Nothobranchius furzeri: one gene and its partners. The protein of the gene in region 2 purifies or fractionates together with the protein of the main gene of each other region. This does not show direct contact. Links are inferred from orthologs where the notes say so. Each region holds a gene or a part of one and is shown on either strand. Other genes may lie near its edges. The genes, in order: dusp1, skp2, fbxw2, ccnd1, B-cadherin, ep300a and e2f1.

The links.
Region 1: the proteins of skp2 (region 2) and dusp1 purify together in Homo sapiens (affinity purification with western blotting; 3 studies listed by BioGRID and IntAct, with this or other methods). This does not show direct contact. The link is inferred for Nothobranchius furzeri from reciprocal best matches to the Homo sapiens genes SKP2 and DUSP1.
Region 3: the proteins of skp2 (region 2) and fbxw2 purify together in Homo sapiens (affinity purification with western blotting; 4 studies listed by BioGRID). This does not show direct contact. The link is inferred for Nothobranchius furzeri from reciprocal best matches to the Homo sapiens genes SKP2 and FBXW2.
Region 4: the proteins of skp2 (region 2) and ccnd1 purify together in Homo sapiens (affinity purification with western blotting; 3 studies listed by BioGRID, with this or other methods). This does not show direct contact. The link is inferred for Nothobranchius furzeri from reciprocal best matches to the Homo sapiens genes SKP2 and CCND1.
Region 5: the proteins of skp2 (region 2) and B-cadherin purify together in Homo sapiens (affinity purification with western blotting; 3 studies listed by BioGRID and IntAct, with this or other methods). This does not show direct contact. The link is inferred for Nothobranchius furzeri from reciprocal best matches to the Homo sapiens genes SKP2 and CDH1.
Region 6: the proteins of skp2 (region 2) and ep300a purify together in Homo sapiens (affinity purification with western blotting; 3 studies listed by BioGRID and IntAct, with this or other methods). This does not show direct contact. The link is inferred for Nothobranchius furzeri from reciprocal best matches to the Homo sapiens genes SKP2 and EP300.
Region 7: the proteins of skp2 (region 2) and e2f1 purify together in Homo sapiens (affinity purification with western blotting; 6 studies listed by BioGRID). This does not show direct contact. The link is inferred for Nothobranchius furzeri from reciprocal best matches to the Homo sapiens genes SKP2 and E2F1.

The regions. Positions count from the first base shown.
Region 1 is NC_091741.1:101,791,696-101,795,770, reverse strand, and holds the start of dusp1 (dual specificity protein phosphatase 1), read left to right. Parts: upstream 1-1,275; 5' UTR 1,276-1,518; coding exon 1,519-1,927; intron 1,928-2,098; coding exon 2,099-2,244; intron 2,245-2,354; coding exon 2,355-2,574; intron 2,575-3,244; coding exon 3,245-3,588; 3' UTR 3,589-4,075. UniProt on the Homo sapiens protein: Dual specificity phosphatase that dephosphorylates MAP kinase MAPK1/ERK2 on both 'Thr-183' and 'Tyr-185', regulating its activity during the meiotic cell cycle.
Region 2 is NC_091746.1:70,421,682-70,425,701, reverse strand, and holds the start of skp2 (S-phase kinase-associated protein 2), read left to right. Parts: upstream 1-1,220; 5' UTR 1,221-1,350; coding exon 1,351-1,364; intron 1,365-1,717; coding exon 1,718-1,926; intron 1,927-2,015; coding exon 2,016-2,127; intron 2,128-2,622; coding exon 2,623-2,766; intron 2,767-2,849; coding exon 2,850-2,984; intron 2,985-4,020. UniProt on the Homo sapiens protein: Substrate recognition component of a SCF (SKP1-CUL1-F-box protein) E3 ubiquitin-protein ligase complex which mediates the ubiquitination and subsequent proteasomal degradation of target proteins involved in cell cycle progression, signal transduction and transcription.
Region 3 is NC_091746.1:34,116,504-34,118,991, reverse strand, and holds part of fbxw2 (F-box/WD repeat-containing protein 2), read left to right. Parts: intron 1-1,263; coding exon 1,264-1,486; intron 1,487-1,565; coding exon 1,566-1,760; intron 1,761-2,488. UniProt on the Homo sapiens protein: Substrate-recognition component of the SCF (SKP1-CUL1-F-box protein)-type E3 ubiquitin ligase complex.
Region 4 is NC_091749.1:21,576,225-21,580,414, forward strand, and holds the start of ccnd1 (G1/S-specific cyclin-D1), read left to right. Parts: upstream 1-1,390; 5' UTR 1,391-1,567; coding exon 1,568-1,765; intron 1,766-2,469; coding exon 2,470-2,685; intron 2,686-3,171; coding exon 3,172-3,331; intron 3,332-4,190. UniProt on the Homo sapiens protein: Regulatory component of the cyclin D1-CDK4 (DC) complex that phosphorylates and inhibits members of the retinoblastoma (RB) protein family including RB1 and regulates the cell-cycle during G(1)/S transition.
Region 5 is NW_027223037.1:4,205,727-4,209,959, forward strand, and holds the start of B-cadherin, read left to right. Parts: upstream 1-1,433; 5' UTR 1,434-1,772; coding exon 1,773-1,820; intron 1,821-3,728; coding exon 3,729-3,843; intron 3,844-4,233.
Region 6 is NC_091756.1:27,967,268-27,970,767, reverse strand, and holds part of ep300a (histone acetyltransferase p300), read left to right. Parts: intron 1-53; coding exon 54-128; intron 129-3,422; coding exon 3,423-3,500. UniProt on the Homo sapiens protein: Functions as a histone acetyltransferase and regulates transcription via chromatin remodeling. Acetylates all four core histones in nucleosomes. Histone acetylation gives an epigenetic tag for transcriptional activation.
Region 7 is NC_091755.1:51,400,806-51,404,305, forward strand, and holds part of e2f1 (transcription factor E2F1), read left to right. Parts: intron 1-733; coding exon 734-953; intron 954-1,049; coding exon 1,050-1,202; intron 1,203-1,406; coding exon 1,407-1,521; intron 1,522-1,621; coding exon 1,622-1,898; intron 1,899-3,500. UniProt on the Homo sapiens protein: Transcription activator that binds DNA cooperatively with DP proteins through the E2 recognition site, 5'-TTTC[CG]CGC-3' found in the promoter region of a number of genes whose products are involved in cell cycle regulation or in DNA replication.

The DNA of each region.
Region 1 (4,075 bases), on a different chromosome or scaffold from region 2:
TTATATAACACATATAAAGACAACTTTATTACAAGCAAAGTGCTGTAAAATTTGTGAAATATTCCCAAACAATTGCAGAATGAGCAATGAATGTGAGCTTCAAAACAATGAACCATCACCAAATAAATAAAGATAAAATAAAAATAAATCAACTGTCATTTGGGCCAGAAAACGTGAACTTCTGCACAACTGGAAGCCTGTGATAAAAGGATTTTAAATAATAATTAACAATAATAAATTTGCATGTTAGGTCTCCCCTGAATAGCTCTGCCATTTCTGTAGTACGGCGATAGGGATCTTTATTGGAACATGAATGGCCTGGGCACTCTTGGAATACTGGCATTCCTAGCTAAATAACACAAGTGGCCCTATATTGGAATTTTAATGAAAGATGTTTGCAGACCCCATTCCTCTTCATCCAAACCTAGAAAATATTTTATTCAAGTGGTGCAGTAAGGGATCAAATGTACGGTAACACTACTACTACCACTACCACTACTATTACTTATTATTATTATTGTATTAATATTACTATTATTAATTATAAAAATAGAGGCGTACATTCCAAAATGTTATCAATTTAGCAGTAATTTTCATAAACCACTTACAGGTGAAACTTAAGAAATTGGAATATGTTGCAAAAGTTAACTTATGTCAGTAACTCAACTATAAAGGTGAAACTAATATAGACTCACGTTTAAAGCCAGACATTTCAAGCTGCTATTTGTTATTATTGTGATGATTATGGAAACCCCACATTCAAAATCTCAGACATTGAGAATATTGTGTAAAGGTTCGATGTTCTAGACTCGGTGTTACACTCTAGTCAGATAATGAACACCTGAAAAGGGTTCCTGAGCCTTTAGATGGTCTCAGCCCAAGTTGAATAACTGAAACAAACTCATTTTTCATCTGTGAACACAGAAAGTACAAATACATATTATTTCCTATCAACATCAGAATTTTATAACATGTTTCAAACATAAATGAAGAATGAAGTCACTGAGCACCCACTGTAAACAGAACGTGACCCCGTACGTGCCGTACGTTGGATCGTTTGGAACGTGCATGTGCACGAGCTCTAATTGTTGTTATTTTCGCGCGCGCCAGCCCAACAGCAGTTTAACATTCACGATGACGTACACACCACTTCGTGGCCTGGCCCGAAGCCAAGTAGGGCGGAGCTCTGACGTTGACGCACGTTCTCACCGTCAGGTTGGTACGAAGTTCGCCTCGCGCCGACTATATAAGGTGGCTCCTGAACCGTCTCGAACAGAAGTTACTTTCTGTAAAGAAGAAATTTAAGATAGGCATCGAGAAGGACTAGTACCACCGGACACACTAGCGTGAACGAAAGGACTTACTGAGATTGTCTTAAAACTCGATATATTTATTTTCTGTTGTTTTTTCTTTTCTTTTCGAAACAAGCTACCAGGAACAAAGGACACGCGGCGCGAACAGACTGAGATCTTTTCATCCAACAAGTCACACTTGAGTACCCCTGCCTTTGATCCTTTTATGCATTTGGATTTGACTTCTACATCCCGCTGTTCTACTATGGTCATCATGGAGGTTCCCACCATCAGCTGCGCGTCCCTCCATGGTCTGTTGGACGGAGACGCGCCGGGCTGCCTGGTGCTGGACTGCCGCTCCTTCCTCTCCTTTAACTCGTCCCACATATCGGGCTCCACCAACGTGCGCTTTAGCACCATAGTTCGCCGCAGAGCCAGGGGCGCCTTGGGACTCGAGCACATTGCGCTCAACGAGGAGACCAGGAACCGGCTCCTGTCAGGGGAGTACCAGTCCGTGGTGCTGCTGGACGACCGGAGCACGGACTTCGGACAGGTGAAGAAGGACGCCACGCTGATGCTTGCTGTTACGGCCCTGTGTCGCAACCCCTGCGGGGTCTGCCTGTTTCTCCTGAACGGTGAGAATCATTTTAGAAAGTTTTCACTCATAAGTCACACCGCTTGGCCTGGAGAGGCAAACAAACGCGGCTGTCACCAGCCACGCTCCGTGAATAGTTGTCCTCATTAATGGACACCAATGTAGCCGATTGCTGTCCTGTAATCTGACCCGGATGTTCTGTCTTTTTTAGGTGGATTTGAAAAATTTTCCTCCCAGTATCCAGAGATGTGTACCAAGCCGTGCCCTCCTCAAGGTCTGAGCTTGTCTCTGAGCTCCAGACAACCAGAGAGTGCAGACTCCACCAGCAGTCCTTGCAACACGCCTCTGTATGACCAGGTTTGTGTTTTTATTTGTTTACGTCCTCAAACCTGCCACCAACCACGCAATCTTTATGTTGTTTACTTCCTTCTGCATTGTTTTTGAAAAGTGTTTTTGTTGCTGTTCAGGGAGGTCCTGTGGAGATCTTGCCTTTCCTGTACCTCGGCAGCGCCTACCACGCTTCCAGGAAGGACATGCTGGACATGCTGGGGATCACTGCCCTGATCAACGTCTCTGCCAACTGTCCCAACCACTTTGAGGATTCCTTTCTCTACAAGAGCATCCCTGTGGAGGACAACCACAAAGCAGACATCAGCTCCTGGTTCAATGAGGCGATCGAGTTTATCGGTGAGCACGCACAAAACAAATACACAAACAGCTTTTTCACCCAACAGAATGTAGGCGCCGACCACAGCTGCTGCCATTCAGTCTGTTGATTGTGAGCAAAACAAACGCCCAACCCCCATCTTCCTTCATGTCTTTCTTTGCCTCCAGGATTTAAATTTTTTTAAAAGTTCCCTCCAAAACCCAACCAGCTGGCTCCATGAAGGCCCCCTGCTTTCATGACAAAGGTGGTTACATCATCACCGCCACCTCTGAGGCATTGAAAGAGGGATGCCCCCCTCATTTTTTTAAACTGAATTGCAAGACAGCAGCCCTGAACTGTTTAGTAGTCGTTTTTGTGGCTGTGCCTGAATAGCTCCCCCTTTACAAGTTTTTGTTTGGGTCGAACAAAAGGCAATTTCTCTCCACTCACAGTCACCCTTCCTGCCACTTCAGTCCCCCCAGCAGGGGTCTGTTCCCTCCTTTTGTCCTTTCATTACACCTCCTTTGGGAATAACCCCCATTGGTTCACACCCTGCTCAGCTATTAACTGTTCCTGCGTCCTGATGAGCACCTTTAAAAAGGAAATGGCAAAGGGCTTTTATGTGTTGTTTCCTGTGGAAAGTTCCAACTCTGTTTTGTTTGTTCACCTTGTTTACATCGCTCTAATCATGCCCTCTCCTCCTTCCTCCAGACTCTGTGAAAAGTAAAGGAGGCCGTGTGTTTGTGCATTGTCAAGCAGGCATCTCCCGATCCGCCACCATCTGCCTCGCATACCTCATGCGTACCAACCGCGTAAAGCTCGACGAGGCCTTCGAGTTTGTCAAGCAGCGCCGCAGCATCATTTCACCCAACTTCAGCTTCATGGGTCAGCTCCTTCAGTTCGAGTCCCAGGTCCTGGCCTCCTCCACTTGCTCCTCGGTGGCGGGCAGCCCGGCCATCGGCAACAGCAGCACGGTGTTCAACTTCCCCGTGCACACGTCTACAGCTCCGCACTCCTTCCTCCACAGTCCCATCACAACCTCTCCTAGCTGCTGATGGGAGTATTTGGACTTAGTAACTCATAATCCACAGTGATGCTGGTGTCACTGGACAGTGAATGGTTGGGTGTGTGTGTGAGTTGTTGGTAACTCCTTTTGTCAGTTGGCCTTGTCATTTCAATGGTAGATGTGACATTCACCATGAGACCGTTTTGATCTTTAACTTCCATAATGTGAACCTATTTCCAGGAAGCTTTTGGGAGACGATCCTGTTTGGGGAAATCGTTTTTTATTTAAAGGGACTGATTGTTGTTGGAATTTTGATGAAGGCTTCAGATAATCACAATCAGAAACACAACAGAGAGGCTATCGGTTATCTCAGGAAATGTTTACATAACCTCTCCAATGTCCTTTTTGCTTTTGGCACATGCAAAGAAAGCAACAGAAACCCAACATGACGTGGATCATGTGAAGCTGATGGAATGTAACCCCCCCCCCTTTTTTTTTTTGTTTCTATGTGTCATAAACCTTTCTGCTCATCTGTA
Region 2 (4,020 bases):
GCCGTAACCCCCCCCCCCCCCCCCGCCTTGGTGAAAGCTACAGGTGACTGGTTAACATGTGTAACTGCATGTCCAGACTGTCCACACACAGAGCAGTAGGGGCGGGGAAGAGGGAGGATCAGACTCAGACAGACACACAGCAGAGCACCTGCGGGTGGAGGGAGACAAGAGGCAATGAGGAGGACGAAAAAGGCGAGCGAGAGGGAGGAGAGTGCGACGAAGACGGTGAGAAAATGAGCGCCAGCAGTCGGAAAGTGGAGATTTCTTAGTGTTCAGTTATTAAATCCATAGAAATTATAAACATTTGACATATTGCTTTTTTAACATTAGTAAATTATTTTACATATACGGTAGTTTAGCATTATTTTGGTTATAAATGTATTCTACGCAACAGAAAATCTGAGGAGCCACTTGGGAGCCGAAAGAGCCGGCTCTTTTTGGTGAGCTGAGCCAAAAGTACCGGCTCTCGAAAAAGAGCCGGAATTCCCACCACTAGATAGAACCTCAAACTAAACCCAGACATGTTTGGACTTGTAGTAACTTGCTTGTTTGTTTTTTGTTTATATTTCTATGTTTTTGTATCTGACTGTTTTTCATTTGTACATTGTAAATTGTTTTATTTAGTCATCCTGTTGAGGAACTGCAGATGTAAATTAGCAATTGTGCTATAATCTGGCCTCTTTACAATGGATACAACGTATGTGATTGTTATTAATGCGCACTGTCCCGAATAAATAAATAAATGAAATGATCGACCACCATCTCCGAGAAAGAGAGGATCACAAGCACAAACTGAAAATAAACGAGTGCGTCTGGCACCAGAAATAAGGGCGCTAGAGTCGAACACCTTGTGTATTAAAACATTTTCACACACTGCAGGTGAGGCCTCGAAGATGGGGACATTTAAGGCAGCTTTCACTAGATTCAAAAGAACACGTATTTGTTTTACCCATTTCTGATAATTATGTAGACGGTCTCTTAACATTGGGAAGGATGTGCAACCCATGCAGGGGGTTGTGGGACTAATATTATAGCATCAGCTGCTCCACTATTAAGTAAAATGACTATAAATAAGCCGATAATGATATGTTTGGTTGATTTGGTCATATTTTGGTGTGTCTGGTTGCTGCTTTGCTTATTAAATTATTAAAAACCAGAACATTTCTACTCCCAGGCGCTAGGGGGCGGTGAAGCCGGTGCGTGATGACGTCACGTCTTTTTACGTAGTAAAAACAAGGCGCGTGTGAGTTGGTGGCGCGTTTAAAGAGTCCAGTTTGGAGAGTAAAGAGAGAAACGCGAGGATTAGAAGTGCATTTTCCCGGATTAGGGTTATTAATCTGAAGCGGAAGGATGTCTCAACACAGGTTTGATGCTTAACTACATTTAGTTCCTGTTTTCTGTCTTATTCGCTTATTTAAACCAAGAAAATGAAACAAGTCGATGATCCGATTAAAATAATCCAGTTAAATAAACGGATCACTTAATCTGATGTCGGACTACTGGGGTTTCCTTTCTAAACTGCTGGTTTGATCATTTTATGCAGATTATTTTTAATGGTGTTTAAAAGCAGCTCTCCCAGTGGTTCTAGCGGTGGGACTTTGCGCGACCTGTCATCATCCTGATGGCGGGCTGGGGGCGGGGGGGTGGGGGTGGGGAGAGTCTTCCTCAGGATGAAGGTCCGGTTCTGGCTGATCAGACCCATCTTGTCCACCTGCAGCCGGACCCTGATGCACCTGCCCTGCTCCAGCCTCCGGAACAAACGGTCCCGGACCTGCCTGGCTGAGGGTCCGGACTCTGAGTGCACCCCCACAGAGTCCATCCAGCAGAGACCACCGCCTCTCAAGGTCCCACTGCTCCTCCCCAGGGGCAAAGAGAACGAGTTTGTGCTGGCCCGGAGGTCCCGGAGGAGGAAAAGCTCCAAGTCAGGTAGGAGAAACCCCCCCACCCCCCCACGCTTCCATCTGGCTGCCTTCAGAAACCTTAAACCTCTCTGATTGGCTGGTTTCTCTCCTCAGGTGTTTCATTGGATCATCTACCTGAGGAGCTGCTCCTGAGGATCTACTCTTGCCTCCCCTTGCATGACCTGCTGAGGATTTCTGGAGTCAGTAGGCGCTGGCAGCGTTTGGCGTAAGAGATCCTGCTGGACCGCACACACACACACACACTCAGAAAACCCAGCTGTGGTTAGGGTCGGGGCTTCTCCAGGGGGTCCCTGATAAGTCCCTGCTTGACCAATCGCACCTGTTCACTCGAGGATTTGTCGCTAACACCAACGATGCTCAGGTCAAGTTCTCGTGCGTCTGCGGGCAGACCCTGTTAATGGATGCTAGATAAGTGAGCATCTTCCCCCAGATGGAGCAAGAATTATTCATTCATGCCAACGAGCACTACAGAGAACTAGAACAGAGCACCGGCTGTTTGATTAGAGCCGTCTTCCTGGAGGCGTTTATTTAGTTTATGTGTTTCCATGGCAACGCCGGAAGTCCGCTTCCGTTCTGTTTCTCCTCGTATTTCATTTGAGTTTCCATCAGTGGGGCTTTGGGCGGAGCAGCAGAGACATGCAGGTGACCTTTGGGCTGGAGGGGATCAGGATCCGGTTCTGAGGTAATCTGTGTGTTTCAGGTCCGATGAGTCTCTGTGGTACAGCGTGGACCTGGAGGGGCTGACCCACGTGGGCCCGGCTCTGCAACAGGTTCTGAGGACCGGGGTCCGCCGGCTGCGCTGCCCTCGAGCTTTTGTAGAGGAACAATACCTGACCGACTCTCGGTGAGTCCGACAGCCCGGATTGGGGTCCGGTCCCAGCAGCAGGTAGAACCCCCCTGATAATGGGTTCTGTTCTGTCCTTCCAGCCCGCTGCAGATCGTTGAGTTGGACCTGTCCAGCTCTATCATCCCGACCTCGACTCTCCAGAACATTTTGGGTCGCTGCAGGCTGCTGCACCACCTGAGCCTGGAGGGTCTGCAGCTCTCCAACAGCATCATCAGGTCTGACTTGTACCGGGTCAGGATTTGGTCTGATTGGTTCTGGTTGTTTCAGACATGAAAATCCCTCACGTAGGGTCACAGCGAGGCCAGCTTTCCCAGTTCAACCAGTTCCAGTATTATCCACTGGAGGACATACTCATGAGCCCCCCCGACACCACCAACAGTAGTGGAAATAAGTCCATCTGAACCGGCGACGCGCTCGAACGCAGCTCATCTGAACCGGCGACGCGCTCGAACGCAGCTCATCTGAACCAGCGACGCTTGAACACAGCTCATCTGGACCGGCGACGCTCCAATGCAGCTCGTCTGGACCAGCGACGCGCTCGAACGCAGCTCGTCTGAACCGGCGACACTTGAACACAGCTTGTCTGGACCGGCGACGCTCCAATGCAGCTCGTCTGGACCAGCGACGTTCGAACGCAGCTCGTCTGGACCAGCGACGCTCGAACGCAGCTCGTCTGGACCAGCGACTCGCTCGAACGCAGCTCGTCTGGACCAGCGACGCTCGAACGCAGCTCGTCTGAACCGGCGACACTTGAACACAGCTCATCTGGACCGGCGACGCTCCAATGCAGCTCGTCTGGACCAGCGACGCGCTCGAACGCAGCTCGTCTGAACCGGCGACACTTGAACACAGCTTGTCTGGACCGGCGACGCTCCAATGCAGCTCGTCTGGACCAGCGACGTTCGAACGCAGCTCGTCTGGACCAGCGACGCTCGAACGCAGCTCGTCTGGACCAGCGACTCGCTCGAACGCAGCTCGTCTGGACCAGCGACGCTCGAACGCAGCTCGTCTGGACCAGCGACACGCTCGAACGCAGCTCGTCTGGACCAGCGACGCTCGAACGCAGCTTGTCTGAACCGGCGACGCTCGAATGCAGCTCGTCTGAACCAGCGACGCTCAAACGCAGCTCGTCTGGACTGGCGACGCTCAAACGCAGCTCGTCTGAATCGGCAACGCTCGAACGCAGCTCGTCTGGACCGGCGACACTCGAACGCAGCTCGTCTGGACCAGCGATGCTCGAACGCAGCTCGT
Region 3 (2,488 bases), about 36 Mb from region 2:
ATGTTATGATTAATATGTTTAATGAGCAATATGACTTTGGTCTAACTGCACTCGACGTCCTGATCCACGTAATGTCAACACATGACACATTGTTTACTCATCCAATCAGAACCTTCATTCTGAAGCGTGGCAGAGTCTCTGTGGTGTTTATTTAATCTGTCCGCTGCGATTCGTCCAGAATCGTAAACAACCAAGATTAATAAAACAGAACAACGCCATTTTGAGTTCAGTATTCAGCCAGCTCTCGATCATCTGATGTCCATCATCGCTAAGTGAAGTACGGACTGGCCATCTGTACGTTTTACTTTTAAGCTGAGAACTGTCAAGCTGGAAAATCCTGTCGTTGTTACCAACAAAACAACGGTTCCTTCAGAATAAAAGCGGAACTCGCTGACCCAAAGGGGGCTCCCTTTGATTCTGTGAAACATCTGACGTTTTTACCTGGAGACTATCCATAGACTGGTTTGTCGACGCTGTTTCATCGGCTCCAGCACCAGAGGAGGGTCCGAGGACCTGGCAGCCTGATCTAACACGGGAGTCCCTGACGGGTAATGTAGAACGGCACCAGATAGCGTCTCATGTCTTTCCTGACTAAAGTTCAAACGTCGATCAGTTAGGAGCAAAACATCATCTCCCACTCAGACTCGCTTCTCCAGACGGAGGTTCTGAACTGACATCGCACCAACACACACTCCACCTCATTCCATTCCATTCACATCCATCACTAGAGAGTTAGTCCTGTTAATTGTTTAAAATAATTTAGATAATAAATTTTTCTTAAACGTTCCGAGGTCTCTCTCTCTTCTCTTGTCTCTCAGTTCATGCAAAGTGTTTAATTTAAATTTCCCTGTAATAAAAAGAACTCTTCTGATTTAAGAAAGCCCAGTGTCCAGAGATGGGACCCATGCCCCAGGTATGGATCATTAATATCTCTGGTCATTAATGAAATTGTAATACCCTTCATTTCCATTGCACATGCGCAACAGAGACACACAGTATAAAAACCATAGGACCGGAGTTGGGGAGTACTATGGAATATGGAGACTTCACAATAAATCAGCACTTTCTCTTTTTTCTGTTCTGTCTTTACCTCATCATATATCTATATTTCTACCATGGGGACTGATTAGCCATGGTGGTTACCATGGTGACTTAATGAGTCAGTGATGGTTACAGTAGCTACCCTAGCACATCAGAGGTAGAATGTTTGATTTTTACTAAGCTGTGTGTGCGTTTGCGTGCGCGTGCGTGTGTGTTCTCTAGGTGATAAACTCGTGTACAGAGGTGTGGCAGGGTGTGTGCCGGGAGCTGGGTTGGAAAACCGACGAGTCCATCCAGGATGCAGCACACTGGAAGGGGGTCTACCTGAAGGCTAAACTGCGCATGATGCAGCTGAAGGACCAGGAGGCTTTTGTGACATCATCACTCATCGGCCATAGCGCCCGAGTGTATGCCCTCTACTATAAGGACGGCCTGCTCTGCACAGGTGTTTAACCTGTAAACGTTTTGCAGCACGCAGGTTCTTCTCTCTAGAACATCTCACTGTGTTTCTCCTTCTCTTTCAGGCTCTGATGACCTTTCTGCCAAATTATGGGATGTACGCACTGGACAGTGCATTTATGGAATTCAGACACACACATGCGCCACAGTGAAGTTTGATGAACAGAAGCTTGTGACGGGGTCGTTTGACAATACTGTTGCATGCTGGGAGTGGAGTACAGGTGCTAAGATCCAGCAGTTCCGTGGGCACACCGGCGCAGGTCAGTGGAAACACCGTTATTGTCTGCATTATCATTGGTTGAACATCTACAGCTGGTTAACTGTTAGAGCCAACCAGATCCAAGATGTCAGCCACCGCTAGTTATTATTAACCGACACTAAAACCGCTCTGACTCAGTCATTCACATCACATTTGGGTGATAGCAGATCACAGTAGCTACGTTTACACGGGCACAAGGAATTGGAATGAACGCCCTGTCAGATCTAAATTTCTTCATGTAAACTTGTCAGTCAGAATATTCTGATCCAATATGGCCCAGAGAGGTGGTTTTGTCCGATCATCAATCTGACTGACGTCCATGTACCCACTCATTTAGTTTCCTGGAGTAAAATAATTCCCTCTGTGCAAGTGTACAACTTCGCCGTGATGTGTTTGCATCCGCTCAGGACAAGTGGAAAACATGGTGGGAGGTAAACAGAAACTGTCCTGCTCTCCTCTCCTGTGGCGGAGGAGCAGTAGCGTTACGAACCGCTGAGCCTGCAGCTTAGTTAAAGTGATCAGTCAAACAAAAGCATACAGGTAAAAATGCGAAGACGGTCCATAACGGGAGAAAAAAAAACAGTCAGCCGACAAAGCTAGAAAATAAAATGCGAGGGGAAAGACGTGCGGAGAAGATGACGTTTGTTTACTATTTTTTCCCGGGAAAGACAACTCTGCGCATGCTCAACCTATTTAATCTGACTGAATGCTTGGTGTATGTAAACTCAC
Region 4 (4,190 bases), on a different chromosome or scaffold from region 2:
ATCTCATAACATCTCAATATTTCAATGAATCAGAATATGAATCTTAACAAGATTCCAAAGTAAAATGTGAAAGTGAGAGGTTCTGGTCAGAGCGACCCGGGACGCTTCACTCGCAGTCAGGAAAGTGTGTAAACTTCTGTTTTCATCATTGTACGTTTTTGTGAGTGTTTTGAGACTGTTGTTTTGAGATTGTCATCACATAAAGCACAATAAAATGTATTATTGTTATTAAATTTATTATGATGTGTTTCTGTTTGGAGTTGTGTTGTTTTCTTTACCCTGACAACAACAAAGTGAGCCTTGAGGACAGTGGCCAGAGAGGAGGCTCTATTCAGGCATTACGGTAGTGAATCCAGCAGCCAGAGAGGAATTCCAGGAATGCTCAAAGGCTCTGACTCAAATTGAAACTAGACTTGGATCTTCTGAGTTTACACAGCAGCTGTGTCCACGAACAAGTTGGTTCTGATCCAACAAGCTCTCTCACCACTAATATGTTCTACTGGCTGAATAAAGCAGCTCAAAGAGGAACATCTGTGTCTAAAGATCCAGTTCACACTTGGACTGGGTCAACCACCATCACCCAAAACAGGATTCTGCCTGGTAACAGCAGGTCCTCCCATTGGTCCAACCCCTGTGTGTGTGTGTGTGTGTGTGTGTGTGTGTGTGTGTGTGTGTGTGTGTGTGTGTGTGTGTGTGTGTGTGTGTGTGTGTGTGTGTGCGCGTGTGTGTGTGTGTGTGTGTGTGTGTGTGTGTGTGTGTGTGTGTGTGTGTGTGTGTGTGTGTGTGTGTGTGTGTGTGTGTGTGTGGATCTAGTAGGGTTAGGGTTCTGAATGGAGGTCTCATTTTAGTGATGTCACATGTTCTGGACCATGTGGTTCCTGCTGATCTGAACCCAGTAGGGCTCACAGGGAACCTAGCAGAATCCAGTAGAACCAAAACTCCACCAGTAGGTGTGAACTGAACAGAACCAGGGTCCTCTGTGGAACTCAGTACCAGAACTACAGAGTTGGACCAGTACTCGGTCTAGTTTTGGGTCGTGATAAGGTGAGATGAATGAGTTACTCCCCCCTCCTCCTTGTGTCCTCTGCTGTTCATTCACACCGAACCGAACCGGCAGCAGGACAAAGGGGGAGGGTCACTGCCGCCCCCTGCCGCCTGTTGGGCCCGGAGGCCCGGTCCCAGACCTCCCACCTCCTCCTAGGGCTAGAGGGAGGAGGGCTCTTCCTGCTCGCGCGCTTGCAGACCGCTTCTCTTTGATCTCACCTCCTCCCACCGCGGCCCCGCCCCTTAACAACAGCCTACGTCACCCGCCTTTACTTGTTCCCAAGCGAAAAAGCCGTTTGTGTGTGGGCGTACAGACACGCGCGCGCAGGGAGGTGCGCGCGGAGGTTTTGTTCGCCAGAGCGAGGCGGTCCGGACCTCAGAGGACTCGCGCACACCAGAGGGGCAGCAGCACACGGAGCAGCCCTGACACCGGGATTCAAAAATACCAGATAGAAAAGACACCGGGCCGGTTCTAGCAGGACACTTGTACCGAACCGGTTCTCTCTGTGTTCCGAGCCAAACCATGGATGAGCAGCTGCTGTGCTGCGAAGTGGACTCCATCCGGAGAGCCTACCAGGACGTGAACCTGTTGAATGACCGGGTCCTCCGAACCATGCTGCGGGCCGAGGAGAACTACCTGCCGGCTCCGAACTACTTCAAGTGCGTCCAAAAGGAAATAGCTCCTAAAATGAGGAAGATCCTAGCGACCTGGATGCTGGAGGTGAGTTTTGATTGTCCCTGGGAATGGTTCCGGTTCTGATCCGGCTGCCCCATCCAGCTCCGGTTTGGACCCGGTCTGGACTGCCGTACCGAAGGCAGTGAGGTCGAACCGATCCGGATTTACTCCAGAATTCACAGTAATGTACACGTATGCAGTCCGGCCCAGCAGGTCCGGACAGTGCGCCATCTTTGCCACCGACGAGATAGGATTTAAAGTCCGTTAAAACCAGTCAGACATCAGCCAGAACCGAGCCGGACCCACCAGGCTCCACAGAAACCAGACCAACTTCAGTTCCACTGGGTCTAAAACTGTCTTGGTTCCGAACGGCTCCGCTGAGGATGGCAGACCAAAAAAAAAAAACAGTTTTAAAGGATGAAAGGGTACCAAATGGGTCTGAAGGTTCGGCTCAGTGTCTCCGGTGTTCTCACGCGTCTGCAGAAAGACTCGGTCCTATTCTGGTCATTTTTATTCATTTTACAAGCTGCCTGGACCGGTCTGGTCCGGACCCGAACCGAGCACGCGAAGGAGCCTCGTGCCCAAACCCAACAGGTCCCGAGGGGCCGGTGTGTCCGAACGTACCGAGTTCTGGTGATTAAAGTGTGTGTGTGCGTGTGTGAGATAGAGAGAATGTGTGTGTGCGTGCGTGTGTGTGTGTGAGACAGTGCGTGTGTGGAGGACTCACCTGTCCGCTCCTCTCCCTTCAGGTGTGTGAGGAGCAGAAGTGTGAGGAGGAGGTCTTTCCTCTGGCCATGAACTACCTGGACCGGTTCCTGTCCGTGGAGTCCAGCAGGAAGAGCCGCCTGCAACTGCTGGGAGCCGCGTGCATGTTCCTGGCGTCCAAGATGAAGGAGACGGTTCCGTTAACGGCGGAGAAGCTCTGCATCTACACGGACAACTCGGTCCAGCCCGGAGAGCTGCTGGTAAGGGCTTTAGGACCGTGTGGGAGGCTGCTGCAGGCACACCAGCAGATCAGGTGTTTAGAAGAAGAAAAAGTTTCTCATTTAGCAAACATCAAGATAAAGAATCACGAGGCTCTTCACAAGAGCCAACAATAAATACTAATATAGAAAATAAAGTAAACAGGAGAGCCTGAGAGAGACAGAAACACCAGCATGAAAAGAAGCCAGTGAGGAAGAAGAGGAGATCAACCTCATCTTCATCACTAGCATCTTTTTTGAGGTGTCAAAAACCAGAACAAAGGTCACGTCACACTTCACCTGCAAGGTTGTCCTCTCCTCACGTGTGTCCATCCCACCAGAAGGTTGTGGGAGATGGAACAAATAGTGTTCTTCTGGAGCGTCTGACAGGCTTGTCTGGTGGTCTACACTGACCCCTAGTGGCCGAGAGGTGCAGCAGCAGGCAGACGCTGAGTTAACGTCTGATTGGTTGTTCTGGTCCACCCACAGCAGATGGAGCTGTTGGTTCTGAACAAGCTGAAGTGGGACCTGGCTTCAGTCACGCCTCATGACTTCATCGAGCACTTCCTGTCCAAACTGAAGATCCATTTGTCCACAAAGCAGATCCTCAGGAAACACGCCCAGACCTTCGTGGCTCTCTGTGCTACAGGTGGGTGCTGGACGTCAGGATTCAGGAGTGGATCCACACACACACGCACGCACGCACACACACACACACACACTAGTGTTGTCAAAAAAATCGATACCTAGATATAAATTGATACTAAAAGTGGTATCTAAATTAGATATTCCATCCCTGTGGTATCGATATTATGGACTATTATACACAGCCTTCTTCAAGTACACCAACACGCACGACAGCCAGATGCCGTAAAGAAGCCTCCGCCTCCCAGACAAACAGAAGAAGAAGATGCCGCATGGCTACATTGCAATTTCCCACGCGAGTTGTCTCCGATCCAAGTTTTGTCTGCCAAATAATAAACAAAAACATAAACAGCGAATTTGGGAGGCGCTTCACAGCCCAACTTCATTAGCATACCAAGTCCGACACGTAGTTGTATATTCACGCTTATGTGCTTAAAGGAAAACTCCCATTTATTGCAACCCGGACTTAATTTCTAGCATGCAGTACGTTTGTTTACTCACGCTGACAACTTTGGTGCTACTTGGATTCTCCGGGGTATTTAGATCCATCGGCAAATCGCCATCAGCGTATATCCATATAACGGGTGCGGACGGGCACCCATGGTGCAGCCTTGAAATAAGACATTATCTGCACCAAAACATCTCTATGTCGAAAGGTTTAGTTAGGAATCATTAACATGATTCCCCTGTTCGTTTGGAGCGGGTCTAGGATTTCTAGGCGTGAACAGACTAGCCGCGGCTAATCTAACCGGTGCTTTTAATTACGTCACTGCTGTGCGCCAATCTGTTTTTATTAAGATTACCGGTAGATGTACCTTTGTCCTACTGTGGAGAAATTCGTTTTCTCCCTTTATTGACCAACA
Region 5 (4,233 bases), on a different chromosome or scaffold from region 2:
ACAGCGGTAATGCTAAGTATCTGCCCATGTTAGGTCTAGATCGTGATTACAGCGTGCATGTGCAATCACTCAGAAAAACAGATCATCACTAGGAGACAAAAGCACGAAGCTGCAGATCGATTATCTGAGATGCTCCCAGGTTTTAACTGGAGTCATGGAGAAATGGCATCATCACTAGTTCCGATGTTATTCCTGGATCTAAGGGAAGTCCCAAGTCCAGGAGTGAAGCTAATAGGGGAATTATGGATTATATATCTGAGGAATGTGGCCGATGGAAGCATCCACTAGTGACATCAGCTTCATGTCCGACATGGAACATGATGAGCTCTTCTCATTTGTCTCCTTCGTTCTTCATCCTGTGACTCAAAAATCAATGTCAGCAAGTCAGACAGATGTATCAATAAATAAAAAGGCACTCAGAGGGAGAAGAGTGGGCTTGCTGGAGAGAGTTTGTTTCTGTCTGATGCAACGTCCACCCAGACGGAGTTTCGGTTGTCCAACTGCAGCACAAATGAAGACAAACACAAGGAAAGATCTGGTTTAACTGGGTTTACGTGTGGAAACGAATACTGAGGGTATTCTGAATAAGTTCCTTTTGGCCCTTTAAGTGATTTGGTTTTTAAAAAGGGAACATGAAACTTCAGCTACTGTTTTTCAGAGACGTGTCCGTAGCTTCAGAGATCACACGTCAGTCACTTCCTCACACATTCATATAAACACCAGCTGGTCTGGTGTGTGGCGCCGATGATGCTAAATCTAAATGTTCAGTCTCATTTTAATTTACAGCAACGTCAACAGACAGAAATGAGATATTTAACCAAATATTCAGCAAACACACTAATACTTCAGACTCCTCCAGAATAAGAGCGGTGTGAGCAGGTCCCCTTCCTCAGATCCACTGTTATGGTAAAATCATATCAGTACGTTTAATTATGGATGATGAATCCATGTGCAGGTGTAGGCCAGATGTTCTAAACAGACAGGAGGTCCTCACCCTGCCGGGTTCTCCAGGTGTCTGAATTTGAGTTTAGTTCAACTTTTATCTTAAAGCCACTTTTGTGTTTAGTTTTAAATATTTAGATTTAAGTTTCTATACTTTGATTTATTTTCATCTAGATTTACATTTAAAGACTCAGAAGAAACATTTTAATTTCCTTAAAATACTGGAAGAAGTGACTATTTTGCAATCGAGACTTCAGCAAGATTTAGCAGTGTGTGTGCGTGTGCTTGTGTGTGTGTGTGTGTGTGTGTGTGTGTGTGTGTGTGTGTGTGTGTGTGTGCGTGTGTGTGTGTGTGTGTGTGTGTGTGTGTGTGTGCGTGCTTGAAAGAGAGACAGAGAGACATAGACAGCGAGAGAGTCAGAGAGACAGACACACACAGAGAGAGAGAGAGAGAGAGAGAGAGAGAGAGAGAGAGAGAGAGAGAGAGAGAGAGAGAGAGAGAGAGAGAGAGAGAGAGAGACTTACTCCCTGTGGATGTCTAATTGTTTTCTGTTTCTGACTGCTGAGATGTTCGTAATGAAACTCCTGGTTTCTACCTTCTCAGGTGTTCGGTCTCCATGACCATATGAGGAACCCGGAACTGGCGCACCTGTGAGCTGACGTCACACGCTGAAAGTACCTGCTGTGGGTCACCGAGCAGAAACAGAGTGAAACTCGAGGAAGAAGCTACGGACGGGATTTATTAGGGATTACGCCTAAAGTGACGTGGGATTTTAGTTCTTTGGTCGGTTTTTCTTCGCGGGGAGAGTCGACTAAAGCTCGGACACACACATGGCTACCGCTCGGGTCGCCGTTTGCTGCCTTTTATTCGTGTTTCAGGTAAAACTTCCTGATTTCCTCGAGGCGCAGTTGGATTTTACTGAGACTGAAGCTGTTGGGCTGAGTCCACAGAAACCTTTCTAACCTTATTTAGGTGTTTAAATAAGGATGTTTATTAATGAGCTTTTATTGGGATTTTTTCATGTTTTTAGCACAAACTTGTGTTTCAATTGAAAACATTTTAACGGCCGCTAAAGCCGCCAGGTTAACTTGGTTAAATGAAACTACTCGTTAGTTTTACTGGTTCAGGTCGGCCTCGCCCTCCTTCCGGCGACTGCAGGTAAAATTCTAACTGAGGGTTAGGGTTAACGTAGCAAACTAAGCGGTGGTTAGTCACGTTGGTGACCAACTAGGTGGGAAGGGTAACTAGCAGGCTTGGATGTCCTAGAAGAAGAAAAGATCTTCTGATGAAGATGAAGCGCCTCTCAAATCACGAGGTGCTTCACAAAAACAAAAATATAAAAAAATTAGAAAATGGTTAAAAATATATTTAAAGTAAGCAAAAAAAGACAATTGTGATTAAAAATGTAAAGAAAGAGAGTGAATAGAAAAGAGGGAAATCAGTGGATCCTGAGGAAGGTGGAATAGGTGGGGAGAGCAGAATAGAGTGGTGAAGAAGGTCATAAAAAAGCTACTTTGAACAAGTGAGTCTTCAGCTGCTTTTTAAAGGAGACCACTGAGTCCACTGATCTCAGGCTCAGGGGGAGAGAGTTCCAGAGCGGATGTTCTGTCACCTTTGACCTTTAGCCTGGTGCGTTGCACAACCAGTAGGCTTTGGTCACTGGACCTCAGGAACCTGCTGGGGGTGTAGGGACTAAGAAGATCACCAATGTAAGATGGTGCTTGTCCATGTAAGGCCCTATAGACCAGAACCAGGATCTTGAAATGAACCCTGAAGTTGACTGGCAGCCAGTGAAGCTGGAGGAGAAGCGGGGTGATGTGGGTGTGTTTGGAGGACTTGGTCAGAAGCCGAGCACAGGCATTCTGAACCACCTGTAGACGGTTCAGGGAGGTTCTGCTCAGACACGTGAAAAGAGAGTTACAGTAGTCTAAGCGTGAGGAGATGAAGGACTGGATAACTGTCTCAAGTTCAGACCGGGACAGAATGGGACTCAGCCTAGCAATGTTCCTGAGATGGAAGAAGGAAGAGCGAACAACAGAACTGACATGAGAATCCAGGGTGAGAGCTGGGTCAAAGGTCACGCCAAGATTCCTGACAGGGTTTGGTGTGGGAAGCAGGCTGACCAAGAGATTCTCTGACTTTGGGAACCAGCTTGTCTGGGGCACAGATGGGGATCTCAGTCTTATCTTCATTCAGCTGTAGAAAGCTCCCAGCCATCCAGGTTTTGATAGAGTCTAAGCAGGTGTGTAACAGCTGCAGCTTAGACATCTCATGGGGCTTAAAGGAGATGTACAGTTGGATGTCATCTGCATCCTAACTAGTAAACCGGCTGGAGCTGGGGTCTGATTTAAATATTAGCTGAACTCAATAATAAAACTTAATAGTCTTGCATGAATATAGAATTAATAAGTTTAACCCTCTCAGGCTCAAAATAGGTGTTGCTAAAAGGACGAACAACTAAGCCCATCAGGGGTAAATGCTCATGAAATACTAGGTGGGTAGGTTTAACACCTGCCTCCAGAGGGTTAACTGTTGATCTGTTTGGTGTTTGAGGTAAAGAGATAAGAATAAAACCAACGTTGTTTCTCTGCATGTGAAGTAAATCGTTTCCCTTTATGCTTGTTTTGAATTCCGTATTTTGGGAAAATGGAAAACTGGATTCAGTCTGAAAATGATTTAATGTTAAACAGTTTTAAACGTAAATCAATGGAGCTACTAACCCATAAAGCATCATTTTGTTTAGACTTGTTTTCTGAGGCAGGTCTGATCACGCTCTTCTCTCCTAGGCCTCGGGCCTGCTGGCAGCTGAGGAGTCAACATGTGTTCCAGGATTCAAGTCTGACTTTTTAATATTCAAAGTCAGCAGAAAACACCTGAATCGAGGCACACGGCTGGGCAAAGGTACGAGTGATCATGACACTCCGTAATGCTTCACATTCCTGAAGGGTTTCCACTGCTGGGAGTCTCTTCATATGGAAAAGGTTCATTAACATCCAAGCTTGTGCTAAAAAGCTGCATTTGGTTGTGTGAAAGCAGCCTGAAGGGCTTCAGGTCTCAGCTTGCACTCGGCTCCACACCCCAGGTAATGCGCTCACCTTCAGGTCCAAACAATGTCCCCGAGCCTGTTCCACCGGCTTTGCTTTGCAAAGGCTGTTGGGAGCTGCACTTAAGGGGGTTGGGCTTTTTACCTTTAATAATAATAATAATAATACATTTTATTTCAAAGCGCCTTTCAGGACACCCAAGGTCACTTTACACAAAACACGCAATAAAATACAATAAAACAATAAT
Region 6 (3,500 bases), on a different chromosome or scaffold from region 2:
CTTTCTTGTTGTGTTCACTGATGAGTGTTTTTCTGTCTGTCTGTCCGGTTTAGACGGCCCACTCCCTGACCCGTCAATGGTGCGTCCTCCTGGACCCAATCCGATGGTTCCCAGGATGCCAGGCCCAGGTACAGAATCTGTTCTGAACTTAAGACTATTGTTCTAGAAATGCTCCAAAAACTCAGCTGCTGATCAGAACCTGCCCATAAACAGCATGATCAGCTTAATCAGGCCGATTACAAATTCTGTAGTTGTTTTGATGAATGAATAAATAAATAATGAAGGAATAAACACAGCATTTGCCAAGCTGGAATGATTGTCTTCAAGTCTGTGAACTCACCATCGCTACAACAAAACTAATTTACTCTAACAATAGCAGATTTTAAATCTGAAACAATTTTCATTCTAGTTTATTTCAACCTCAAAGCAAGTATCTTGCTAATTATTACTGATCAGAATCTGTTTACTGGTCGGACACGGGGGTGGACTGGCATTCTGGCACTGTCACGGTGGGGCCCCCCACCCACTCCTACATTTGGTGGAACCCCCCCCCCCCCCCCCCCCCCCCCCGCAAGACCGGCAGCGTAAACAGAGCGTGCACGAGGATAACTGGGCGTTCTCTCTCATGTGCATTTTTTAAAAAAGTGGTGAGGGCGGTTCTTTCCTGAAATTCAGAAATATCCTCTGCCACATACATTAAAGGCCAAAAGTTTGGACACACCTGTCTCATTCAATGTGTTGTCTTTATTTTCATGACCATTTACATTGGGAGATGTGGAGTTATGTACTTAGCCCAAAAAGGTAAAATAACTGAAAACATGTTTTATGTTCTATTTCCTTCAAAACTGCCACCCTTTGCTCTGATTACTGCTTTGCACACTCTTGGCATTCGCTTGATGAGTTGATGGTTGCACACGTTCCCCTGCTGTTTCTCACCAGTATCAGCTGATGGAGGGCTCTAGTTTCGTTGCGCCGTTCGTGTCAGCGGACACGGTAGGGTCGGGGAGGGGGGCGGGGCATGACGCTTAGCCTGGCTGGCCGCCAGGCTTATACAGCGCTGGGGGAAACCCTGCGTACTGTGCAACCCAATATTTTTTATTAACAAATAACAATCAATAATTATTTATTTGCATTTTCTTGAGCCAGTATGTGCTAAAATTACCCTTAATAGGGTTAATGAAATGTCACTCAGACCCCCACCGCCCTCTGTGGCCAGAATTTCACATTTGCAACTTCAGAGTGCCAGTCCGGTCTGCTGGACTTAGAAAAAATTTGAGCTTACATACCTGTCGCTGCAGCCTGGTTCCAGTATGTTTTAGATCAGGAGCACAAGTGATTTGTTTGATTTAGTGATGAACCACTCCTGTAGACACTGAGGAAGGCTGGGGAGATGTTTGTTGTTAGATTAAGGTGTTAAAAAGACGAACGCACAGCGAGGAGATAGGTTTTGCTTTCGATTCCACAAAAGGACACTAGGGGGTGCTAAACGTAAGCCAAAACAACCTAGTCTCGCCTGAAATGTTTTCATTAAATGTTCCTGTTACATCTGGAAAAGACAGCGATCCCTCCCTGCACACCATAGTGCTGCTTTTATTGATAGTATCAATGATTATTGCCATCTCATCTGACCACTTTTTAAAATGCTTTCATTTATTTAATTATTGATATTCACTGATTGCTCTGCGGCTCCACAGCTCACCGCTGTAGCAGCGCAGAGCCACTCGAAGGGAATAAAACAATTTTTTTTGTGCCTACATCACGCCCCAGAGCCTGGATTTCCATCTTGGTTGTCATGGTTACCTGTGACATCCTGTCAATAAGCATGTTTATTTATATGCACAAAATTCATCATGCAGCTTACATTGTCCATTTATTATTAGAGAGTGGGTGTGTAGAGGCAGGATGTAGTCGACAAACACCTGAGCACATTTGTTGGACAGCTGTGATTTTTAAAGCAGAAACAGAGTGGAGCCGTGCTTAAAGTAGTGCTAGTCTAAAGTAGAGTAAGTATTCTTTGCAAAGTTTTATAAATGATGTCCCAAACCTGGTGTATCCCAATACTTTACCTCAACTGTTAAAATCAGAAAAGTTGGCGTCAAAATGAGGCAGTTTGTTCTTCTATGTTAAATATTGCTTAGACAATAATAATGTCTCAGGTACAGCATAATCCTCTGTAGATTCTTCAGAAATTAATCTATTTTGTGTGGGTCCAACCAAACTGTATGATTAAATTCACCTACACATGAGCAGCACGTGACAAAGATGATTTATTTCAGTAATTCCATTCAAGAAGTAAAAGTTGTTAGATTAATTTATTACACACAGACGGATATTTTTCAAATGTTTATTTATTTTCAAAATCCATTCAATAATCCGGGGGAAATTCACAAAGAGGTGACTGCAGCTGCAGTAGGGTTGCAAGGACTAACCGGTTTGACTCGCGTTAGTGACTGAACTGATTTAACAGTAATATTAGAACAATCCAGTGAACAACGGTTCATATTGTGTTGTTCTACGTTTCCCCCAAATCTGAATACAACAAGCCTGTACTGCAAGCCATTTTAATATTTAATCAACTACACCACTCTGTGATTCCTGTTCTACTTAGCAACTGTATAATTCATCATTGTCCAAATAATATTCTTACTGATGAAAATTCAAAGGATACGAATAAATAGAAATTATATTTAAGTAATAAGTAATATTCATAATGACAGCTACACTAGTAGGAATTTAGCATTTTAATTCATGAAGGTGTCTCCATCCTTCAGTGCTTACCCTGACCAGCTGTCGACAGTTGAACCTTTTTGTCTTTTTACAGAAACTCAAAAAAGCCTATTAGGCAAGTATAATTAAAGGTGTGGTTCACTGAAAAAACATTTTTAGTGATTATTTCTGATAATCAATCACTCGGGTTTTCATGCAGGCTGAACATGAAAATAGTCTCCTACACCTATCTCCTGCACCAGCACCTGAATTAACAGATCACACTGTAAGTGGCTTTGGACAAAAGCGTCCGCTAAATACATAAATGACAGGAAAGAAGACGATCACACCGTCAGGTGAAGAAATGCTGAGAACGATGCTAAACACTGTGAGGTTCAGGATGGACATTAAACACGCCTGAAATCTTAATCGTGATCAGAGGTGTTGCTACTGGGCAGGAAGAACACACACTCGGTGTTTAGTTTATTATCAGTCTGTGCATTTGAAGTGATAACATGTAAGAGGTCTAAAGTAAATAAGTGTTGGTTTTTATTAGTAATTTCTTTCTTGAATGTGCAGTCCAGACAACTTGTTATTAATGTGGGTGTAATTTAAAGAGAACTGTGATCTCAGTCATCAATGATGAAACACCGATTCCCAATTTAGCAAGAATGGTGCGCTCCTCAATCCTCATGATGCTCTGGCTATCTTCTTAGGTATGAACCAGTTCAATCAGATGGGGATGCAATCTATGGCTCAGAGGTCCACACCGCCTCTGCCCATGGGAGCACCTG
Region 7 (3,500 bases), on a different chromosome or scaffold from region 2:
GAACAGCGACAAAGTGGCACTACCTCTCTCTCTGCTGCTAAAGCTACGGATAGCAAACGCTACGGGCGATGCCTGAGCGTGAACGCGCATGAAGCAGCCTGCTCGACCCGAGCATCTCTCTTTTTCTGTGATTTTACAGAAAAACAGGCAATCACAGTAAAAATGCCAGGGCTCATTCTACAGGACCAGGGCATTGCAGGAGAATGTATGAAGAAGACATTTATTATTTCTATACATGTTTTGGCTGTCAGACTTCCATAATGTCCCTTTAAGGAAGTAGGAAGTGTGTTAGATGTAAATTTTAAAGCACATGATATAAAAGGAGAAAGTCACATTTGTGCTCAGTTTTTATTCCAGTTGGGTGTTTTCATCGTCTGTTTCCTTCAGATCAAACAGGATGAGGCAACAATCTTCCTGTTCTGAAGAGTGAGGCGCTGTTCCTCCTTCAGCTTGCCTGTAATGTTGACCTCTGTGCAGCCTGTTAGCACTAGAGCAAAAGCAGAGACTTGCTGCATCTTTATCCGTACATGTGTAAGCAGGATGAGAACTCCTGTTCTGTTTATATTTCTGCAAACCGTTCTGCTGTTGTGAGCAGAAAGCTCGCCGTGCAGCAACAATCCTGCAAAGCGACCTGTTTTTGGTGAAACTGGCCGTCGGATCTGTTGAAGTCGTCTTGCATCTAAACGAGCCCGCACACGTAGGAGCCTAAATGTGTTATTTTTTTTCTACGCAGTTCCTCGAAACGCATCAGAGAAGTCGCGTTACGACACGTCCTTAAACCTGACCACCAAGCGCTTTCTGAACCTGCTATCTCAGTCGGCCGACGGCGTGGTGGATCTGAACTGGGCTTCGCAGGTTCTGGACGTCCAGAAACGGCGCATCTATGACATCACAAACGTCCTGGAGGGAATCCAGCTCATCTCCAAGAAGTCCAAGAACAACATCCAGTGGCTGTGAGCATAAAGCCGTCTTACGGCAAGGATGAAAACCTCGTTGTGTCTGTTGGAACAAACGTTTAACAAGGGTCCTCGCCTTTTTTCCCCTGGCAGCGGCAATCGGATCGACGCCAACCTGGTTTCCCGGCACAAACGGCTGCAGGGGGAGGTGTGTGACCTTACGGAGGCCGAGGAGCAGCTGGATGAGCTCATTTCCAAATGCACCCTGCAGCTCAGGCTGCTCACAGAGGACCCACAGAACAAGAAATATCCTTGAACCAGAACCGGGTCCCCTGGCTGCAGCTGCAGCGGTGAGCTCTGGTCTGTAGCTTCGGCGGCGCCCAGTTGGACCGCAGGCTGCAGATGTTGATTCATTTAAATTAGTCCTCACATTAAACCTCTAATCCAGCACCGCTAGTGAGTAAAGCAACGTGTGGCTTGAACATCTTCTCCCTTAACTTCTGTCTTCACGCTGGGTTACGTGCGCTGCCAGGACCTGAGGAAATCGTTCGACTCGCCGGACCAGCTGGTCATGGTGATCCGAGCTCCACCAGAAACCCAGATGCAAGTTTCAGAACCCAGCCAGGTGAAGGCCTCAGTCATATAATTGAACCCTTTTTTTAAGCACCTGTAACGTTTCAGTTTGTGTGGTTTTGTCCTGACAACGCGGCGTGTCTGCCTCTCAGGGTTACGAGGTGTCGCTCAAGAGCACGCAGGGTCCGATTGACGTCTTCCTCTGTCCAGAGGACAGCTCTGGCGTCTGCAGCCCTGTGACAGGAAGCAGTCCCTTGAAAACCAACCCAGATTCATCCCGAGTGCCGTCTCCATCGCACACCGCAGAGCAGTCCAGAACGTGCACAACAGCCCAAGATGTGGTTGCGTCATCGCCGGCTTCCACTTCGTCCACAGTAACGGCTACATCCCAGCAGGAAGCTTCATCGCTGGGCGTAGGTGGCGACACGGGTGGGTAACTAGAACATTTAAGTCCTGTTCGTCCTTCTTTCTGACTCCACTGGTTAGGCAAGACAAGTGACCATTATATATAACAGCTGGGGAAGCAAGAATCCGTAGAAATCTGTGCAGAGTCTGTTTTTCTCATGGAAAAATTCATCCATCCATTTTCTGAACCCGCTTTGTCCTCACAGGGTTGTGTGTGTGTGTGTGTGTGTGTGTGGGGGGGGGGGGGCAGCAGTCAATGGGCAATCAGGCGGGGTACACCCCTGACAGAGAGCCAGTCCATGGCAGGACAACACAGAGACACACAGGACAAACAATCACACACACTCACACCTAAGGACAATTTAGACAGACCAATTGGACTGTGGGAGGAAGCCGGAGCACCCGGAGAGAACCCACGCATGCACAGGGAGAACATGCAAACTCCATGCAGAAAGACCCCAGGCCAGGAAGCGAACCCAGGACCTTCTCGCTGCAAGGCAACAGCTCTAACCACTGCTCCACCTCGCAGCCTTCATGGAAAAACCATTATTGGTTCTGTGCAGCAAGGTTGAGGGTCTAATAAAAGTCCTCCAATAAGATGGTTTGTTCACGAGTCTTTCATCCACAGTCCAACATAACAATCCTTTGAAAACATAAAAAGTCTCCGTCAGATTAAAGCTGCTTTAGCGAATTAAGAGAACAAGCTAGGCGGTGACAGAACACTGACCCCTTCCCTCGGGTATCTTCCCTAATGACACTTACACATTAAGGGCCGTACGGTCGGGGAGTGTTCACGTAGTGTTCTCAGAAATGCAGAAATCCCCGAGTTCACGGGCGGTGTTCAAGACGTGCGGGAAAGTCCGGGATCCATGATAAGATGAACAGAGGAGGGCATGAGTTGTGTTGTTTTTGAGGTCTGAACCACGTCATTTTATTCATTTGCTGTGTGTTCTCATAAAACTGTTCTCTGCTCCTGTGGGACACACACACACACACACACAGACAGACGGACGGACGGACGGACGGACGGACGGACGGACGGACGAGCTTTCTCCTCCCACTGAGCAGCTGTGTGTCGGTACAAGATCTGCTCGGGTGCAAAATTGGTTCGGGGTCCGTCAACTGCTGATGACGTCTAAGTAGTTGATTGGCTGAACATGAACCTTACAGAATTACGTAATCACGTTACGTTGTTATCACGTTACGTTGTTATCACGTTACGTTGTTATCACGTTACGTTGGTCCAGGCAAATCTTTCTATTGGAAAGATGGACAACTTTTACAAAGAAATCCATCATTACCTCTTTGAAAATACACTTTTAGCATAGAGATGCATGTATATTAGGGCTGAATGATTAACTGCATGTGCAATTAAATTGCGATGTGACAAAAGGAGATTTTCTAATCTCAAAGGCTGCAATTTGGCAGCGAGTGGTTAGCGCAATGCTAATATACGTGGAAAAACCCATAGGAATGCTAATGCTAATATCACCGATTACATTCTTACAAATTATGAATTAGAAACGTGCCAAATGATTACATTTGGAGTCTAATAGAAAGTAAAAATACCATCAATCAAATAAGTACAGACAGGTATTTTAGTAAAGCCAGAAAACTTTTAACTCG